Linked DNA regions of Bombyx mori. The protein of the gene in region 2 purifies or fractionates together with the protein of the main gene of each other region. This does not show direct contact. Links are inferred from orthologs where the notes say so. Each region holds a gene or a part of one and is shown on either strand. Other genes may lie near its edges.

Evidence for each region. The genes of interacting proteins can lie anywhere in the genome.
Region 1: the proteins of syntaxin-18 (region 2) and protein sly1 homolog purify together in Homo sapiens (affinity purification with mass spectrometry; 5 studies listed by BioGRID and IntAct, counting the BioPlex papers as one, with this or other methods). This does not show direct contact. The link is inferred for Bombyx mori from reciprocal best matches to the Homo sapiens genes STX18 and SCFD1.
Region 3: the proteins of syntaxin-18 (region 2) and vesicle-trafficking protein SEC22b-B purify together in Homo sapiens (affinity purification with mass spectrometry; 5 studies listed by BioGRID and IntAct, counting the BioPlex papers as one, with this or other methods). This does not show direct contact. The link is inferred for Bombyx mori from reciprocal best matches to the Homo sapiens genes STX18 and SEC22B.

What each region holds. Positions count from the first base shown.
Region 1 is NC_085118.1:7,860,219-7,866,290, forward strand, and holds the start of protein sly1 homolog, read right to left. Parts: upstream 3,501-6,072; 5' UTR 3,355-3,500; coding exon 3,327-3,354; intron 3,247-3,326; coding exon 3,087-3,246; intron 2,522-3,086; coding exon 2,220-2,521; intron 14-2,219; coding exon 1-13. Other genes in the region: chitin deacetylase 1-like, read left to right, coding at 5,956-6,037. UniProt on the Homo sapiens protein: Plays a role in SNARE-pin assembly and Golgi-to-ER retrograde transport via its interaction with COG4. Involved in vesicular transport between the endoplasmic reticulum and the Golgi.
Region 2 is NC_085127.1:13,548,071-13,553,495, reverse strand, and holds syntaxin-18, read left to right. Parts: upstream 1-1,303; 5' UTR 1,304-1,443; coding exon 1,444-2,220; intron 2,221-2,855; coding exon 2,856-3,044; 3' UTR 3,045-3,062; downstream 3,063-5,425. Other genes in the region: cotranscriptional regulator FAM172A homolog, read left to right, coding at 3,621-3,638, 3,718-3,868, 4,165-4,459, 4,895-5,249, 5,319-5,403. UniProt on the Homo sapiens protein: Syntaxin that may be involved in targeting and fusion of Golgi-derived retrograde transport vesicles with the ER.
Region 3 is NC_085121.1:559,541-565,624, forward strand, and holds the start of vesicle-trafficking protein SEC22b-B, read right to left. Parts: upstream 3,501-6,084; 5' UTR 3,321-3,500; coding exon 3,246-3,320; intron 3,077-3,245; coding exon 2,967-3,076; intron 1,918-2,966; coding exon 1,797-1,917; intron 1,040-1,796; coding exon 841-1,039; intron 221-840; coding exon 72-220; 3' UTR 1-71. UniProt on the Homo sapiens protein: SNARE involved in targeting and fusion of ER-derived transport vesicles with the Golgi complex as well as Golgi-derived retrograde transport vesicles with the ER.

The DNA of each region.
Region 1 (6,072 bases), on a different chromosome or scaffold from region 2:
GCTTTGTTTATTGCTGAAAGACAAAATAAGCAATTTAAAGTCGAAGAAAATAATACCACTATTTCCTATTACTCTGTACTGTTACTTCTGTTGCATTTCTGTCTGTTACTTCTACTTCTGTTGCAAAGCAGTCACATATCCCTGTCAGAAGAGTGGGTCTGCATTATACAATATAATTGAAACCTCGACTTTGAGAGCAGTTTTCTTTATGTTGTCAATGAGCTCCGGTAAGCACTTATCAGGTGGACCGTGAACTGGTTGGTAGCACTAAAGAAACAGTGCTTGCTGCTGACCAAATTTAGCTATGCCACTAGATCAGTCATAAAATTATTTTACTATTGTGGGAATAATGATGAAAGGGAAGATCTTTCATCAGGCTGGTGATATTACTCAGTAGACCGACGGTCTGAATGTTGTTGTTCGGTACTTGTATGCAAGCTTATCTTGAAAATGTCGTAAACGAGATTCAGGCATATATCAAATATCTTGTGTTGTATGATGGCTGCCTGCCACACTATTATTGATCATAATTAATTTACAGTACAGTGTTTGCCTCATTCGCGTTTTCACTATTCGCGGATCTAATCAGTGCATCGGTACATACACATTGATAAAAAGGATTCCATTATGAAGGTATCGAAACGAATATACTTTGTAAGCGCGTCGTTAAATGGGCTAAAGTAAAATAGACCTTATTACACCTCTACTGAAAGTATGATAATAAAATTAAATGATATCGTCGCTGTATTGGTTCCGCCTTTGACTAAAGCCGCTTTAGCCGCGGTCGACGTTTTTAAGAATGTAAGGAAACAGAATGAAATCAACCTTGTCATTCAATAGGTATTTTCTGTAATCCCAAATATGTAAGTTATTTATCATTCCATATTCACGGTTTCTTTATTGAGGCATGTTTACGGAACATATACCCCGCTTTTACCTTTTACTTTATAAATTGTAATAAAATAAAATTTATAATTTAGATTATATAATGAAGTCGTCGTGGCCTAAAGGATAAGACGTCCGGTGCATTCGTATCGAGCGATGCACCGGTGTTCGAATCCCGCTGGCGGGTACCAATTTTTCTAATGAAATACGTACTCAGCAAATGTTCACGATTGACTTCCACGGTGAAGGAATAACATCGTGCAATAAAAATCAAACCCGCAAAATTATAATTTGCGTAATTACTGGTGGTAGGACCTCTTGTGAGTCCGCACGGGTAGGTACCACCGCCCCGCCTATTTCTGCCGTGAAGCAGTAATGCGTTTCGGTTTGAAGAGTGGGGCAGCCGTTGTGACTATACTGAGACCTTAGAACTATATCTCAAGGTGTGTGGCGCATTTACGTTGTAGGTGTCTATGGGCTCCAGTAACCACTTAACACCAGGTGGGCTGTGAGCTCGTCCACGCATCTAAGCAATAAAAAAAAAAAAAAAAAAAAAAAAAAAAAAAAAAAAAAAAAAAAAAAAAAAAAAAAAAAAAAAAAAAAAAAAAAAAAAAAAAAAAAAAAAAAAAAAAAATTTAAAATTTAATTATCCAGGTTCAGGTTTAAATGTTTAGATGGACTTTATAGTGTTTTCGTGAATGATATTTGTACAGAGTCTGGTTAGTTATGATGCATAGTACTGTGCATTAGGTATGCTTCACAAAGAATTGATTTTAATGACGTTAAAGAAAAATTTGTAGAGAAGAGAAAAGTTTCTTGTATAACATGCACAGTATTGTCAACATGACGGGACAGAGCCATTCCCTATTTTTCATTTAATTTGTCTTTTTAACTGACTTCAAAAGGAGGTTCTCAATTCGACTGTATTTTTTTTTAATGTTTGTTACCTCTTAGCTTTGGACTGGGTGATTGATTTTGATGATTCTTTTTTTATTAAAAAGCTGACGCTTCCCGTGTGTTCCCATTTCAATTTAGTCCAGTTCTAATAATGGTATCCAGGAGAAAACCATATCAGTCTTAAATTTGCATTAAGTATGTGCGCGACAAATAGATGAATAACTTAATAACTCAATATCACACCAACTGATTTCGATGATTATTGTTTTTAGTGTATATTAATTTGTTTTGGAATATATTCTTTTGTCTATTGAAAGGCGGTTTTTGTTAAAGCATGTCTATTTACATTTAAGTGAATTTACAACATCACTAATAATTTACCCCATACTGTGAGTAGCCTACACAGAAAGTATAAATAATATTGTGAACAATCTTACCATAATATGACAATGAATCAGATTGCTGGTGCTTCATTATAAAAAGATCATCTTCCAAACAAATAAAGTTCAAATACTGATCGAAAACTTTATGTATATTGACAGCAGAATTTGACTGGATAGCTGATGCAGCTAAGTCTTCAAGTTTGTGTCTTGTGATTGGTGATATAAAGTTTAAATGGTATTGATCATAGATCCCATTATCGAGATCTTGGCAAATGCGATCCAGATTTTCATCAGAAGGAGAACAGAAATAAACAGCAGGTACTTCTGGTATCGAATCTCGATCTGAATGTAGTTGTCTGGAAATATATAGTTTACATTTAAAAATATTCTTAAGGGAGAAGAAATATCAAGTAATATAGAGTCAACAGCTTAAAAGTACTTTTAACCAGTACAGTCTCGCAATAATTTATTATATTTCTTCTGAATTTAGAAATTCTTTTACAAACTAAAACAAAAGCAGAGCTTATGATATTTAATACAAAAACATTTATATTATGTTTTACTAATGTCTTCTGGGTTTGAAAATAATCCAACACAATTAATTATAATCAGCTGAACTACAGGATCTAGTCTTAAGGAATCATAGGGATCATCTGTTGGCTACCATTACAATATAGATTTTATATACAAACATACAAAATTGGCAAACATTTATGTTTATATTACAATATCATATGTTTTTGATTGGCGTCCTTAGTTTATTACAATTTGGGCTTTGGTATAGCTCACTGCCAGTAAAAAGCATTTTAGTTTTAAAACATTGTTGCTTGAAATATTAAAGAGGCGGTTTTGGGACTGAATTACTGAGAAATGCAGAAATAATGCTAGAGGAACAGCTAACCATTGATTTCAAATACTTACAAATGAAGAGTCACTCCTAGTTCACGCAAATCTTTTACAGATACCAATGGTGAGATAATATCTTGTCCAACTCTATCATATATTAAGATTTTCCACGTCGGTTCATTGGCTATATTCTTTGTAAGCGGCTGATTTAAATTAAGCATCTGTTTCAAGGCATCTGTGAAAATATATAAACAAAATGAAATTGTACATAATTATTTTTTAAAACGACACTACTTAAGAATTCTCAGTTCGTACTAAGTTGGCGTTCTCTTAGCGTAGACATTTCTTATTTTTTACATATGAATTTTGTTTCATAAATTAGTATTTTTTTATTTTAGATTCTGAAAATAATCAATTATTCACGTAGCTGAAAACCTACAATTACAATCAACATGTTACTTTGACACATGTCACAATGACATTTCAGTTTACACGTCGCACATCCGTTCGGAATTTAGGCATTTCATACCTTTAGGGTAGTTACTAATAAAAAAAAAATTGGAACTACATATTTTCGCTACTTTGTTTATTAGTAGTTTATCGATTTTCGATTTATATGAATCCCAATTTTTTTTCGTCTTTTATTGATGCAATAAATCATAACAATATGTATTCAAAATTTATGGAAGCATTGCCAATGTGCTGTTCCGTCGAATAATCGTTCATAAATATCTAAGGACGTGATTTTCGTGACAGGAAATGATAATAAAATATTAATACTGATTTCCCAATTTCATTTGAGTTAAAATTTTGTACAGATAAAGGTACCAATTGTTTAAGTAATTACAGAATTACTACAACGCGTTCTATTAGGTCTAGTTATTTTTGATATTTTATGGAATGTTTTGAAGTACTTAGTACAAGGAACATAAGACAGGTTGTGGCTGAGTGGTTTTGGAAATTCGTTACATTTTTATATATTACGTAGTGAAATGAAAATAAATATACATAGGTCCTGATCGTCATCCCTGTTCCACCATCACATTCATTTTGATGTTAATTCTGATGCTATGCTAATTACTTAGATTTCGTAGCGTCATTTTAGCTTTCAAAAATATATATTATATCGACGTAGGAACCCTCATATGTTTTATTCACATACCACAGATTTAAGATACCTACTATTAGAGTAGTAATCCACATTTGTTAGAATTGTGTTCTTTGATTAAAAATGTATTCGGCTTTGAGTTAACTGTACGATAGTCCGGACAATGTATATATGTGCACTTGCTATCCCGCTGAAAGGTCATCCTTTGAAAACTGTTGGAAAATTGAAACTCCTGTTAGCTTCGTATTTATATTTATTTATTTATTTATTATTTATAAATTTTTTATTATTATTTATTATTATAAAATCAAATGGGCGATGCTTGCCTTGTAGGAGAATGCTTATCTGCTAACAAACGTTTGTATCTATACATAACATAGCATAAAACAACATAACATCTGCTAATATTGCTAGCGTAAGTTAATAAAAAGAAACATATGAATAGAAATAAAACAGCCTTGTGCGTAGTGTATGTCTAGAAGTGAGAGGATGAAAATTAAACAACGGAAGTGATTGCCCTGAAGCGCAGACGTTGGACGGCGAAGTGTTTATTCATATGATTGAAAATAATATAAACGTTGACTTTTGGTTTGCAATCGTATAGCTAATCTACCTATAATTGAAATAATTACTACTGAAACTAAGCGGATGGTTTACAGAATAAGTGAATACGGACATTATTAAAACTACATTTAGGATTTAATTTGCTCGCACTTTTTATTATCATTATATCATTTTCGACGTTTCTATTTTACTTTTACGGTTTTAGTGGTCACGGATGACTGACGTTTGTAACAATAAAAAAAGGGAAATTAAACTGTAAAGTAGTTTAAATTATGTCAACAACTTACGAAAACTTAAGAAAATTAATGTGGACATTTTTATGCTAGAAATCATTTGTACACAAAACTATGTTTCAGCCAACAGTCCACCTTGTGCTAAGTGGCTACTGGAGCCATAACAAGGTGAAGGTCCCTGCGACTTGAGGTCGACGTCTCAATTGTATTGAATAACAGTTGTTCTACCGTCTCAGTAGAAAACTACCCACGAATATGCGTAGCTTAGGTACTTCGATAAGGCTATGCGTTATGATAATCGCCTTATCGTTGCCGCCGCTGATTACTACCCATACCCTACTTACGAAGGAGCCAGTCTACGTTGACGCCCTGGACAGGTCATTACGGATCCAACAAATTCGTTATCCTCAGCACTAGATGTCTTCAGCTCTAAGACAAAGAGCAAGTTTAGGGACCCCGAATTCTTTGCCGAGTTACAACCTAACCCACGCATCAGCCCGCTGAGTTTCTCGCTGGATCTTTTCAGCGGGTCACGATTCCGATCCGGTAGTAGATTTATTTGCAAAGCAGCTGCTCTTAAGTTGTTAGGTCTTCCTTGTCGCTCGGGCGCTCGTGCGCTCGGGCAGATGGTAGCAAATCCCACCGCTCCTGGCTGAGCCTTTGCTCGCCCAACTGTCCTGCTAAAACTGGGAAGACCTGCGGGATACGAGTAATCATTCCTTCATCAAATAAAAAATTAAAAATGTACGTAGCTGTTAGAAATGCGTGCGTTAACTGCGAAACCTTACACTTTCGATATAATTTACAAATATAAAGTTACTAAAACGAAATAAATCAATGAATAGTGTGGTTCCTTCACAAGATGTAGGTATACGTGGCAGTTAGTGTTTCCGTGACGTACATGCGGTAGTGTTTTTATTTGTTGAGTGACGAGTGTTAAGGGGTCTAAGGAGAAAGCTGTCTGCGGAGGTCGGCTGGTGGATGGCAGGCAGCGTTGCACCTCGCACTCCTCAGTGCCCACGCGACGGTGAAAGGGACCATGTCGACTCGCGCGTACGTAGCGCGATCAAGAACTATGACCAGTTTGCGAGTACTCCTTGTTTGTGTGCTTTTAATCAACGGTTAGTTAAATATATTTTTGTTATTTCGATGTGTG
Region 2 (5,425 bases):
CTTGGGTTACTTAAAAGCACCGTTAGTGGATCTTTTTTTTTTATTGCCTTTGTATATATATCTTTTAAATCTCTGTCTTCAATGGGTTGATGTTGGATGGTTAAATTTGAGGTGATTGGGTTCTGTAGGTGATGGAGGGCTATTTAAAAACACACTGCTTCATTATAATTATATTGCAGATAGTTTGAACACCATTTTAAAATTATTATCTTTATATTTTTATAAAACTTCTTACATGTTTCTTTGACCGTGTCTAGATTAGAAGTATTGACTTTTTCTTACGAGAATACAATCATCTGTTTTTTAAACGTTTAAAATAATTCTAATATTCGAAATCTGTAATCATGCGTCAAGTGCTGCCTGCCATTACATTTATATTCAAACTCCAACAGTTGAACTGAATTAAATTCAATTCACCCAACTGAACTGAGAACTGTCTAAGCATCTTCATGCTTAGACAGTTCTCTAACAGACCTAAATTTGATCGTGTCTGCTGCACCACGCTCTGAGCGAAGCTCTCATAGCTGATATGTCATACATTATAACACAAATGTGAAACCTAATAAAAAAAAGAAACAAAAAAGTTAAAAATTGTGTATTTTTTCTAAACTTTGAAACCGAGTTTTAAAAAAAAGCAAGTGTTCAAATATCAGGCATGTACCTTATCTATTCTCGCCACAGTGAGCAAAAAAGTGCCTTAACATAGAAATAAAAAAATATATTTAAAAAATCATAACTCGAAAACTATTAAAAATCGCGGAACGTACATGGGGGTGGTTCGGATAGCCCTAGTGATGTTCTACCTCTGGACTTCGGCTTGACACTATTTTTTAGGGCACCCTGTATAAGCGACAGAAGCTTTATAGAGTGGTGTAACATTTATTTCTGTCTCTCTTCCGTCTCCATTCGATCTGAAATGCTTTCGGCTACTGTAAATTTACGAGCAAAAGACTTCAGATCAGATTGTGTATAATAATTTTTTTAAGGGATTTTATGACCTGATAACTTTCTTCGGATGTACATACTGACTTTTTATTTTTTCACATAAAATTATACGACTAACTAATTAATGCTAGGCAACAACTATTCTTCTTAATAAACTTATGATGGTTAGATGGTTGGATGGCAAGAAGACCAGTTCTAACATGAAGAAACACTAAATAGACAAAATAAAACAAATCACACAACTTCACTCCACGTGTTCCCGCCAAAAAGTCCATGTAGCCATCACAGATTAAAATATTTATTACTATTAAAATATTTATTACTACTTAAAGCCATGCTTACTTTGCCTTTTCAATTGGATAATTTTAAAAAGAGAATTTGGTTAGTGTCTACTCTGTGAGGACATTATTGATTTGTCAATTCAATTTGTCAAAAACGAGTAAAACTTACGTGTTATTGAAGGAAAAAACATTTAAAACATAAACAAATCCTCTTAAAATGGATATAACACCATTATTTAAGGCTTGCATAAAAACTGTTAAAACTCGTAACAAGGCTTTCGGCATACACAGTCCGATTAGCGAAGATAAGCAACGCATATTGAGGGTGAAATCAAAAAATGCTTTCATGGCAACAGCTAAGGATATTTGTTCACAAATTACAAAGCTTAGGGACTTTTTATTGGAACACCGCGATAAATATTTAAGCTTCTTCAATAATGTTACTGGAGACGATATGTCTGATGAAGAGCGCGACCAAATAGACACCGGTGCGCAACGTATCATGAACACATGCTCACACCTGCTAAAAGAGTTCAGGAATGATAATCGAAGAACTACAGTGACCCCACAAACTAGGGAATATATGGACTCAGTCGTAGATTTAATTGATGCTTATTTAAAAGCTGTTTGTAAAGTGCATAGTGAATTGAAAGCAATGAGAGTTAAGCGAGCTTTAGATATGAGAAAATTGTCTAGACTTGAGCTACCAGCGACCAAATCTAGTATTCCTAATCCGTTTACACTAGATAAGGTAATAGAAAAAGAGAATGAGACAGAAGATGAAAAAGAAAATACAAAAACAAAATTAGACTTATCAGAGAATGAGATGGCAATTATGTCTGATGAAGGAGAGTTGACTTCAGAAGAGTTGCAAATGTTTGAGTCGGAGAATGTACAGCTGTTAAATGAACTAAACAGTATGACGGAAGAAGTTAAACAAATTGAAAGCAAAGTACTACACATTGCAGAACTTCAAGAAATATTTACTGAAAAGGTAAAAGGTTAAAATTGAATAAATACATAAGCCATTTAAAAAAAAAAACAGATTACAAGAAAAGAATATCTGCCACCAGAGAGGATGAATGTTGTTTATTATAGTCTGTGTATTATATCTTTATAAAATTGCACATACTGGTACATACATATCATAACTATCTTGATCTTAAAATATTCATATTTGGATGTTCTTTCATACGTAAACTATTGGATGTAAATAAATTTTTCAAATCCATGATACTTTAATTGATTTATTTAGATTCAAATTGATATTACTGTTTGTAAAAGTATAATTAACAGTAGCGGTTAAGAATATCTGCCACCAGAGAGGATGAATGTTGTTTATTATAGTCTGTGTATTATATCTTTATAAAATTGCACATACTGGTACATACATATCATAACTATCTTGATCTTAAAATATTCATATTTGGATGTTCTTTCATACGTAAACTATTGGATGTAAATAAATTTTTCAAATCCATGATACTTTAATTGATTTATTTAGATTCAAATTGATATTACTGTTTGTAAAAGTATAATTAACAGTAGCGGTAGGCAGGTAGCTTTTAATAATGAGATATACAAACAGTTTGTCTGACATAAAATGTAAAAAGTGTAAATATGTTTCAGGTTTTACAACAAGAACAAGACATAGATAGAATATCGAATACAGTTGTCGGGGCAACTGAAAACGTTAAGGATGCCAATGAACAGATTAAGCAAGCTATACAAAGAAACGCAGGCCTAAGAGTATATGTTCTGTTCTTCTTACTGGTCATGTCGTTCAGTTTGCTGTTCCTAGATTGGTATAATGATTAAATTTAGTAGTTACTGGTGGTTTTGTGTTTCATTTTCTAAATAATGATAATTTTACAAAAAAAAGGAACAGTTTTGATGATAATAAAATGATCTTAATTGAAATTTTGGAATCAATGATGTTAATATTTTCGCTTTAAATAAACACGTTTTATCAGAGGCTTCTTATGTTTTTTTATGTGAATACGCAAATATTTCACTATCGGTTATATAAAATATACACTATTATTGCTAGAGTTTCGATCTATACTTTAGCCAAACATTTTTTTAGTTGTTTAAAATACAACTATACATATACTAACTAACTATTATACTTATGCTACTAACTTTAACTTATATGAATCTTAGTTGATAACATGAGAAAATGCTGTTAATTAACGTTGTACCATCTATATTATTTTAAAAATACCACTATTTTATTAATTTAGTTACAAATATAACTTCGGTTTTTTACCAGTCGACTAACTTGGCTGTATGTGCTATTTTCTCTTGGACTATCTATTTAAACGTCAAAGTCCAAACTGTCAAGTTCCAACCCCGGGACCTGGGGATTGTTTATTTTTCAGTTTCAAGACCTAGATGCATATAAATTCAGCTGTAATAAAACATATATCAATGTGTTTCCCTGAGGTGATCAATACTGCAGGATGCGTACTTACCACCCTCTCTGTTGCAGTTCATGAATGTAATTCGCGCAGTACGCACGTCGATATCAAAAGTACGACTGCGACCTCACAGAAAGTCGATTGCATCTAGTGCTAATAAAGTGCATTACAAAATGGAGGGAACGAAAACTATGAAGGAACTGGGATACATATTTGATTCAAGTAACATTCTAAATTTTTTATATCATTTAATTAGTGCCTCCACTTATGAATAGGAACAATAAGAAATTTCAGAAATAACTTGAAAACAGGTACAGTTAAGTGTATGCACGAGACCCTCTTAGTGCCAACGCTTAAGGGTGGTGATAACCACTTTCCATTAGATCCATATGTTCATACCAAGGCAATTAATATATGTTGTTAGGGTATTACTTGTAGATATTAAATGCTACACTATTTTCTAGTTTCACTTTTAAATTAACAATAATATGATACTTAATGCTTTTACTACCAAACAGATGGTCAAGTAAGAAAAATTGGAGCTGATGGACAGCCAACAGATGAACCATTCCAATTTGTTGTGAGCAATGATCACCAGGAATGCCAAGCTCATTATGAAGAACTTGGCTCAGCAATCACCAATTATGTTTATGATATTCTTCAGACTCAGATTGGATTGCAAAAGTTACCAATCCCAAAGGATTCAAATGATGGAACATTTATTTTTGTTTCAAAAGATTATGATAAAAAAGATGTTCTGTTAATATTGATTCACGGATCAGGCGTTGTGCGAGCTGGTCAGTGGGCTAGATCGTTAGTATCATGACTTAATTACTAAATTTTGGTTTCAAGTATGTTTAAAATTAAAAATAAATAATATTGATGATGAGATAAAATTCAAAATGCAAATGTTATTTTGAATTTAGACAAGCAAAGCCATTTTTGAGTAGTACTTTAATAACTTTGGATATATAACATGAAACTTCTTCTTAGTACTGAATCATAAAATTAATATAGAAATATGTATATAATGGTGGCTCAATTCCTGATTCTGTTCATTATCCTTGGTTGGTACAATGATGGTATTACCCTTCTGTTCTTCTTTCACAATGGCAATACTCTATTCATCTATGTATTAATATGTACGTAATCAATGCATATTTTTTGTTTTCCCCATGTCTTGTTTTAAAGTAGGTCACGTAATTAGGCCTGCAGTATATTTGTTCTGAAATGTAATTTTTGTCACAGCCTCATAATCAATGAATCGTTGGACAAAGGATCTCAGATTCCGTATATCAAGAAGGCTTTGGCCAAAGACTATGGAGTAGTGGTACTAAATACAAATGACAATCACACAGCAGATGGAAAGACCATTCTCAACAGTAGCACCGCTGAGGAACATGCCCTTTACGCATGGCTGAACTACATATCCAATGCGAATGCAAGTTCCATACTCATTGTAGCACATAGTTATGGTGGGGTTGTCACGGTTTCTCTGGCAGAAGAGGTGCAAAATGACTTTGAAGACAGAGTAAAGGCCATTGCTTTTACTGACTCTGTACATTCCTATTCTAATAAGAAGCTTACAAACTTTTTGAAACAGGTAAGAATGTAACTGGAGGCATGCACAGTTGAAATTTAACTTTTCCTAATTGGTTTCTCGATATTACAGGTTACAAAGAATTGGATATCTAGTCAGACACCGCTGGATACACCTCTCAGAACTCCTGATTTCGATATAACCAGACTTTCAGCAGGTATAAATATTGCATTCATAAA
Region 3 (6,084 bases), on a different chromosome or scaffold from region 2:
GTATTTGTTGTTGTGTTAATTATAAGTCGCGCTCATTTCCCCGAGACAAACCGTAACTATCATGGAATCATCTAGAGAACCCAGAAGTAAAGCACAATCACGAGCACGATAACGGCTCCGGCGGTCACCTTCACCAGCATCGACTTCGTGTTGAGATACGTGGCGTCCTTCCGGTACTTCTGCGACATCATCGATAGGTTTTGCGTCTTCGTGTCCAGTTCTGAAAGTTAAATCACGTAAAATTGAATAACCATATTCTGGAAATTCACGAAAAAAAATTTTTTTCTCCCACCTATGCTGATAGAGTCTATGTCGGAGCCGGATGGTACATAACTAAAGTTTGACCTCTGAAAACACACTGTGGGTGAATGCAGTGGTTCCAGACAGATATACTACTCGCAGTGGTTAAAGATATGGTAGAACATTGACAACTATTATAACTTAAACGTAAGGGAGGTTGACTAAATAACATATTAAGACCGCAAAATTGTAATTTGCTTAATTACTGGTTGTGGGACTTTTGTGAGTCTGCACGGGTAGGTACCACCATCCTGCCTATTTCTGCCGTGAAGCAGTAATGCGTTTCGGTTTGAAGGGTGGGGCAGCCGTTGTAACTATACTGAGACCTTAGAACTCATATCTCAAGGTCAACATCAGGTGGGCCGTGAGCTCATCCACCCAACTAAGCAATAAAAAAATAAAAAGACAGGTTTTCAAGTGATGTGGTGCCAATTGCAAGACCGGTACATTATAACAATATTATACCCGTGTAAAAATTAGATAAAATTAGGGATGGAGGTGATTTATCAATACAAAAATGGAGAAGATGAAGGCATTTACCGGACAGTATAGCTCCCCTCTGCAGCACGTCGTCGATGTTCTGCATCATGATGCGCTGCACGTCGCCCAGCTGCGGCGCCAGGTGCGAGGCGGCGCCGGCCCGGCGGGCGCGCGCGCCGCCCTCCGCGTACTGCTTCCGCGTGCGCTGCATGCACGTGTCGAACTCTATGAACGTGTACGGACGAGTCACGGTGTTCAACTGTGGACAAACTCATTTCTATAAATAACGCTGTAGTTTAAATATCATTGAACACACAATGCAGAAGTCGAGTCTTCCTTTCGGTTCGGTCTTTAAGAATTCGGTTGATTAACTTGAAATGTACTTAAAGTCACTTTAAGTCGTCGTGGCCCAAAGGATAAGACGCCCGTGCATTTGTATGTAGCGATGCACCGGTGATCGAATCCCGCAGGCGGGTACCAATTTTTCTAATTTCAATAATGATATACGTACTTAGCAAATGTTCACGATTAACTTATGTATTTTTTTTTATCTCAGATGTTTAGTTCTTAATACTGGGATGGTAGACCTATTCTGATTGTTTGTATAATGAAACTAAAACTGTAACTCAAATAATGATGCATTCCAATTTGAATATTGAGATATTTTTATTCCAGAGTAGGTGGAGTCAGCAGGTGCTGTTATTCTTGTTCTGGTATCTACATGCTGCCAGTGATTGATTAACACTAAGCAGCTTCTCAGTGGGTCGGTTTTCCGATCTGGTTTTAGATTCTGCGAAGCACGGCTCTTGCTAGGGTTCGTGTTAGTAACGTCATCAGGCTTGAGCCCCACGAGCTCACCTACTAGTTAAGGCGACGCTGATATAGCCTCTCAAGACTATCAGATAAGGTAGGAAAAAAAAAACTAGATAGACTACAAATAACACCCAATTAAAAAATCTGTTCCTCAGATTGAAACTGAAAGAAAATTTTGTAATTTTAATAAATTAAAAACAGACCCTGTGTCCGTACTGTTGGAAGAATTCCTGTGCTATTTCCTCGAGATAATTGAATGCTAGTCGTTTACTGTAGTTTCTTTCACACAGGACCAAATAACATATGTGATTTTCAATCAAATAACTGAAAAGAGAAATTTTATTTCTTAAAACCATTATTTCACAAAAACAGGCATTATTATCAATAGATTAGAATTATGTAAAATGTTCCTTAAGGCGCCACTGTTTATTTTCATAAGCTGCTCGGTATACTGGTGGCTCACAACAATATTAATTGTGCATGTCCTCATGTGAATCTATTACTAATATTATAAGGAAAAATCAGGCAAACACCCAGCAGTCAATGTGATGTTGACCCCACCACGAATAACATGCCTAAAAGTGTATGCGAACAAGCACATATGGCAGTTTGTGATATTGTAAGGTTACTTAGTCACTTAACACTAGGTGGCTTGTGAGCCTGATCACCCAACCAGTACATGATAAAACTAAATGCATAATAACATGTTTACATTCAGAGTTAATTCCATTGCATTTTGAATTTTAGTAGAACATGTGTTGTACATAACAATATTTAATTGAACATATGGCTCAGTACTATCGCACCAGTCTCACAATAAAGACATAGCAGCTTCCAAGTATATAACATAGTTAGTTTTGCAGCTCACATAATAAAACCTAGCAAAAACTCAAATAAAAAAACAAAACCATACTTAAAAATCATTCTACAAAGCCAATACTTAAAAAGCATTATAAATTTTAGGGGTTTTGTGCTAAAAAACGAGTAAAAGAATAGACAAATAATATAAAATTGTACTTTACAGTCCGATTTTAAAACTTGTACCATATTGATATAATTGTTGATATTAAAATGCCCATAAGCTGTAACATCTCTGGGTTGTTATACAATATAAATTGATTTTCACAATAGTCATATTGTATCATATTGTATGTTGCAAATAAGTATAGTAGTAGCATATGTAATAATATATTACAGGTGCACAATGTCCTATGTCAGAAAGTTATGTCTGGCTAAACATTTAAATGGTGAATTAGGTAAGAAGCTACTGTGTACATATTACTTTCAAAAACGTTTTGCATATAGATTTTTTGTTGGACTATTTTTGTTTAAAATGATATAGGTTTAATTGACATAAATGAACTGTGACTCACTGGAAGAGATACGGGCCGGTTTCAATGGAACATCTCATCGGGGACTGAGGGCTTAATTTCCTAAACAGCATTTTAGCCTGATTCTGGTACTCGAGTATATTGCACCCGCTCTGCAAATCATTACAGCAAATTAAATTATAATTACAACAAACAAAAATAATAAACAAAATTGCAATTTAAAAATAAAAATACTAATACATGAAACAAAAAGATACGAAAGAAATGTATATATGACGAAATATGTTATCATAGAAAATGATTATAGAGCATTCTAAATACCTGCTCATCCTCTTGCATAGTGGCAGCCAAAGGCAGCCCGTCGGCGACTCTTGCAATCATAGTCATTAACACCATATTTAAAGTTAAAATGTCTCTCACTTAAACATAAAATTTATGTAATTGAGTTCAACTTTAATTTAAGGTTTTTTCCTTCTCATAGTTTTGAAAACATGAAGAAAACTCAATAGGTTCTCAATACCACGACAGCTGTGCTTACACGTCAAGTGGACTGACATGACAACAACACGTCAACTAGCAGTGTTACCAATCAGAAAGTCACACTTTGGACTTGCTATTTTACGTGAAATTATTGTCTTTTCGATCCATCAAACTATCTACTTGTGGTAAAAAGAGTACACATATTACTTTTATTTTTTATTGCTTAGATGGGTGGACGAGCTCACAGCCCACCTGGTGTTAAGTGGTTACTGGAGCCCATAGATATCTACGACGTAAATGCGCCACTCACCTTGAGATATAAGTTCTAAGGTCTCAAGTATAGTTACAACGGCTGCCCCGCCCTTCAAACCGAAACGCATTACTGCTTCACGGCAGAAGTAGGCGGGGTGGTGGTACTTACCCGCGCGGACTCACAAGAGGTCCTACCACCAGTAAGAATTGAATTGAACTTAAATTTTTTCAGTACACTTTATTACTAGAAGAAAAGCTTTTTTACTAAAACAGGTTTTGTTTATAAGACAAAGGGAAGATCTTGCAATGAGCGGGTGAATTGCTTGGTAGACCAACAGTCCGAATATTGTTGTCCGGAATTTGTATAAAAGTATTGAAACTTATCTTGAAAATGTCGTTAGCGAGACTCAGGATTCTGTAAAATATCTTCGCATTCTCTGATAGCGGCCTTTTGGGCGGGAAGCGAGGAGTGAAGTTGTGTGATTTGTTTTATTTTGTCTATTTAGTGTTTCTTCAGGTTTAAATATGTAATAACGGTGGTTTATTGACTGTTTAATATCTGTGAATGTGCACAAATGTGGGAAAATCAAACAAAGCCGCTGAACGTAACTTCTCGGGATCCTCCAAAAAGTCCACTGAAAAAGTCTCAGTAAATGACCAACCACCATTTTACTGAGATTATATTTCATACCATATAATCTCATCTCATTTAATTTAATTTCATCCCAGTTTAATGTCTCAAATTAATCATCTTCATTTCATTTCATTTCACTCCATATTATCATTTTTCATAAAAATAAGAATATAAATTAAAATAAGACATGATTTAAAGGTCTTAGTTACCAGGTCATAAAATCCCATAAAAAAATCTCTGATAGCTACCCGTTACATAGGTGTTAATATCATGTAAATTCGGATACGAGAAGGTAACGGGTCTAATCAAATAAATAACGCAGTAAACTCCGTATTTATTATAAAAGGCTAGTCTAGCTGAGCAAGGTACCAGTGACAGCATGCTGGTTGCTTCTCTGGTGAACGACTCCCGGGCAGCAGCGGCCGCGGCATTTGAGACTGTTGGTAAAACAAATGCATGCATATGTCGTCATTGGGTGCTTTGCTGAAGTCCGAGGCCCACGCGATGAAGTGGATTAGTCTATTAGCCAGTAGCCAGTCAAGTACAGTACAAGTACTATGCCATGTACAGGACTGGAAACTGAACGGAACAAGGCTATGTGGATTGGGTATTTTGATGAAGTATTTGAATGGATTAGGACTAGATCGTACTAGTCGTGATTGATTACACACACTCATAGAGAGGCTAACACTACTTATAATCATAGGTAATCTACAATATTAACATTGGCAACTGTATTAGGAGTGTTATGACCAGCGTTAAGTTTACAGTTAAGTGGGAGATTCTTAGAAAGTTGGTGTCTTAAATAATTTTCAGATAGGAGAATATAATACATAAGGTTCAATTAATTTATACCCAAATTTTGGCAAAGAAATTTAATTATTAATCTCAATCAAGTAATACCATGATGTTTGGTTATAGATTGCACACTAAATGACAAACTATTAGCGTAGAAGATAACTCAAATTCGTATGGATTTGGAACGTTTGCCTACGTTCGCGGCTAGGGGTGTTGTTCCAACTGCAAATGTTGAGTTAACTTTTACGCTATGGAGAACGTTAAAAAACTCGCACTAAGCGCACTGTAGTAGGTTGCGGCTCGCATGTAGGTATCGCCACCCTCGGTCAACACTCCAATAGATGAGCCATAGGATAATAATAAATAAATAAATAAGTATCATCGACAACTCAATAAAGCGTATTTTTAAATTTATCTCGCGGTATTTGTTTTTAAATTTTAGACTTCATAGGATAATTTCTATAGTAAGCTCAAATTTTTCATTTCTTCATTAAATGATTATTGTGTTTTTAAATCATAAAGGGAAACGGAGAATAAATAATAAAGATATATTTTTTGTGGATATTTTATTAACATTATCATCATGCATCAAATTACGTACTAAATCATTTACACTTACAACTAACTATACATTAGAAAAATAACTTAACTAGGGGGCAGAAAATACATTATCTTGTAAAATTAACAAAATCTATGTTAAAGTTAATTAAAAATTATCGGACTGTAATTGCATTAAAAACTAAAAGCAAATATAACACAAAATTTCACATTTACACATTCTAACTCTCAGAATTAAAAAATAATAATTTTGAAGCAAAAACGAAGGAAGCGCCGTCTATTGTTCAAGGTAATGAAATTAAACTAACGACACGCAACAAACACGTTCATCCGGAATGAATTACGTATTGAAATACACACTTGGACATTAATTACATTTAGATAAACGTACATCGAAATAGCATGCAACTTCGAAACATTTAATCGCGTGCTGCCGTG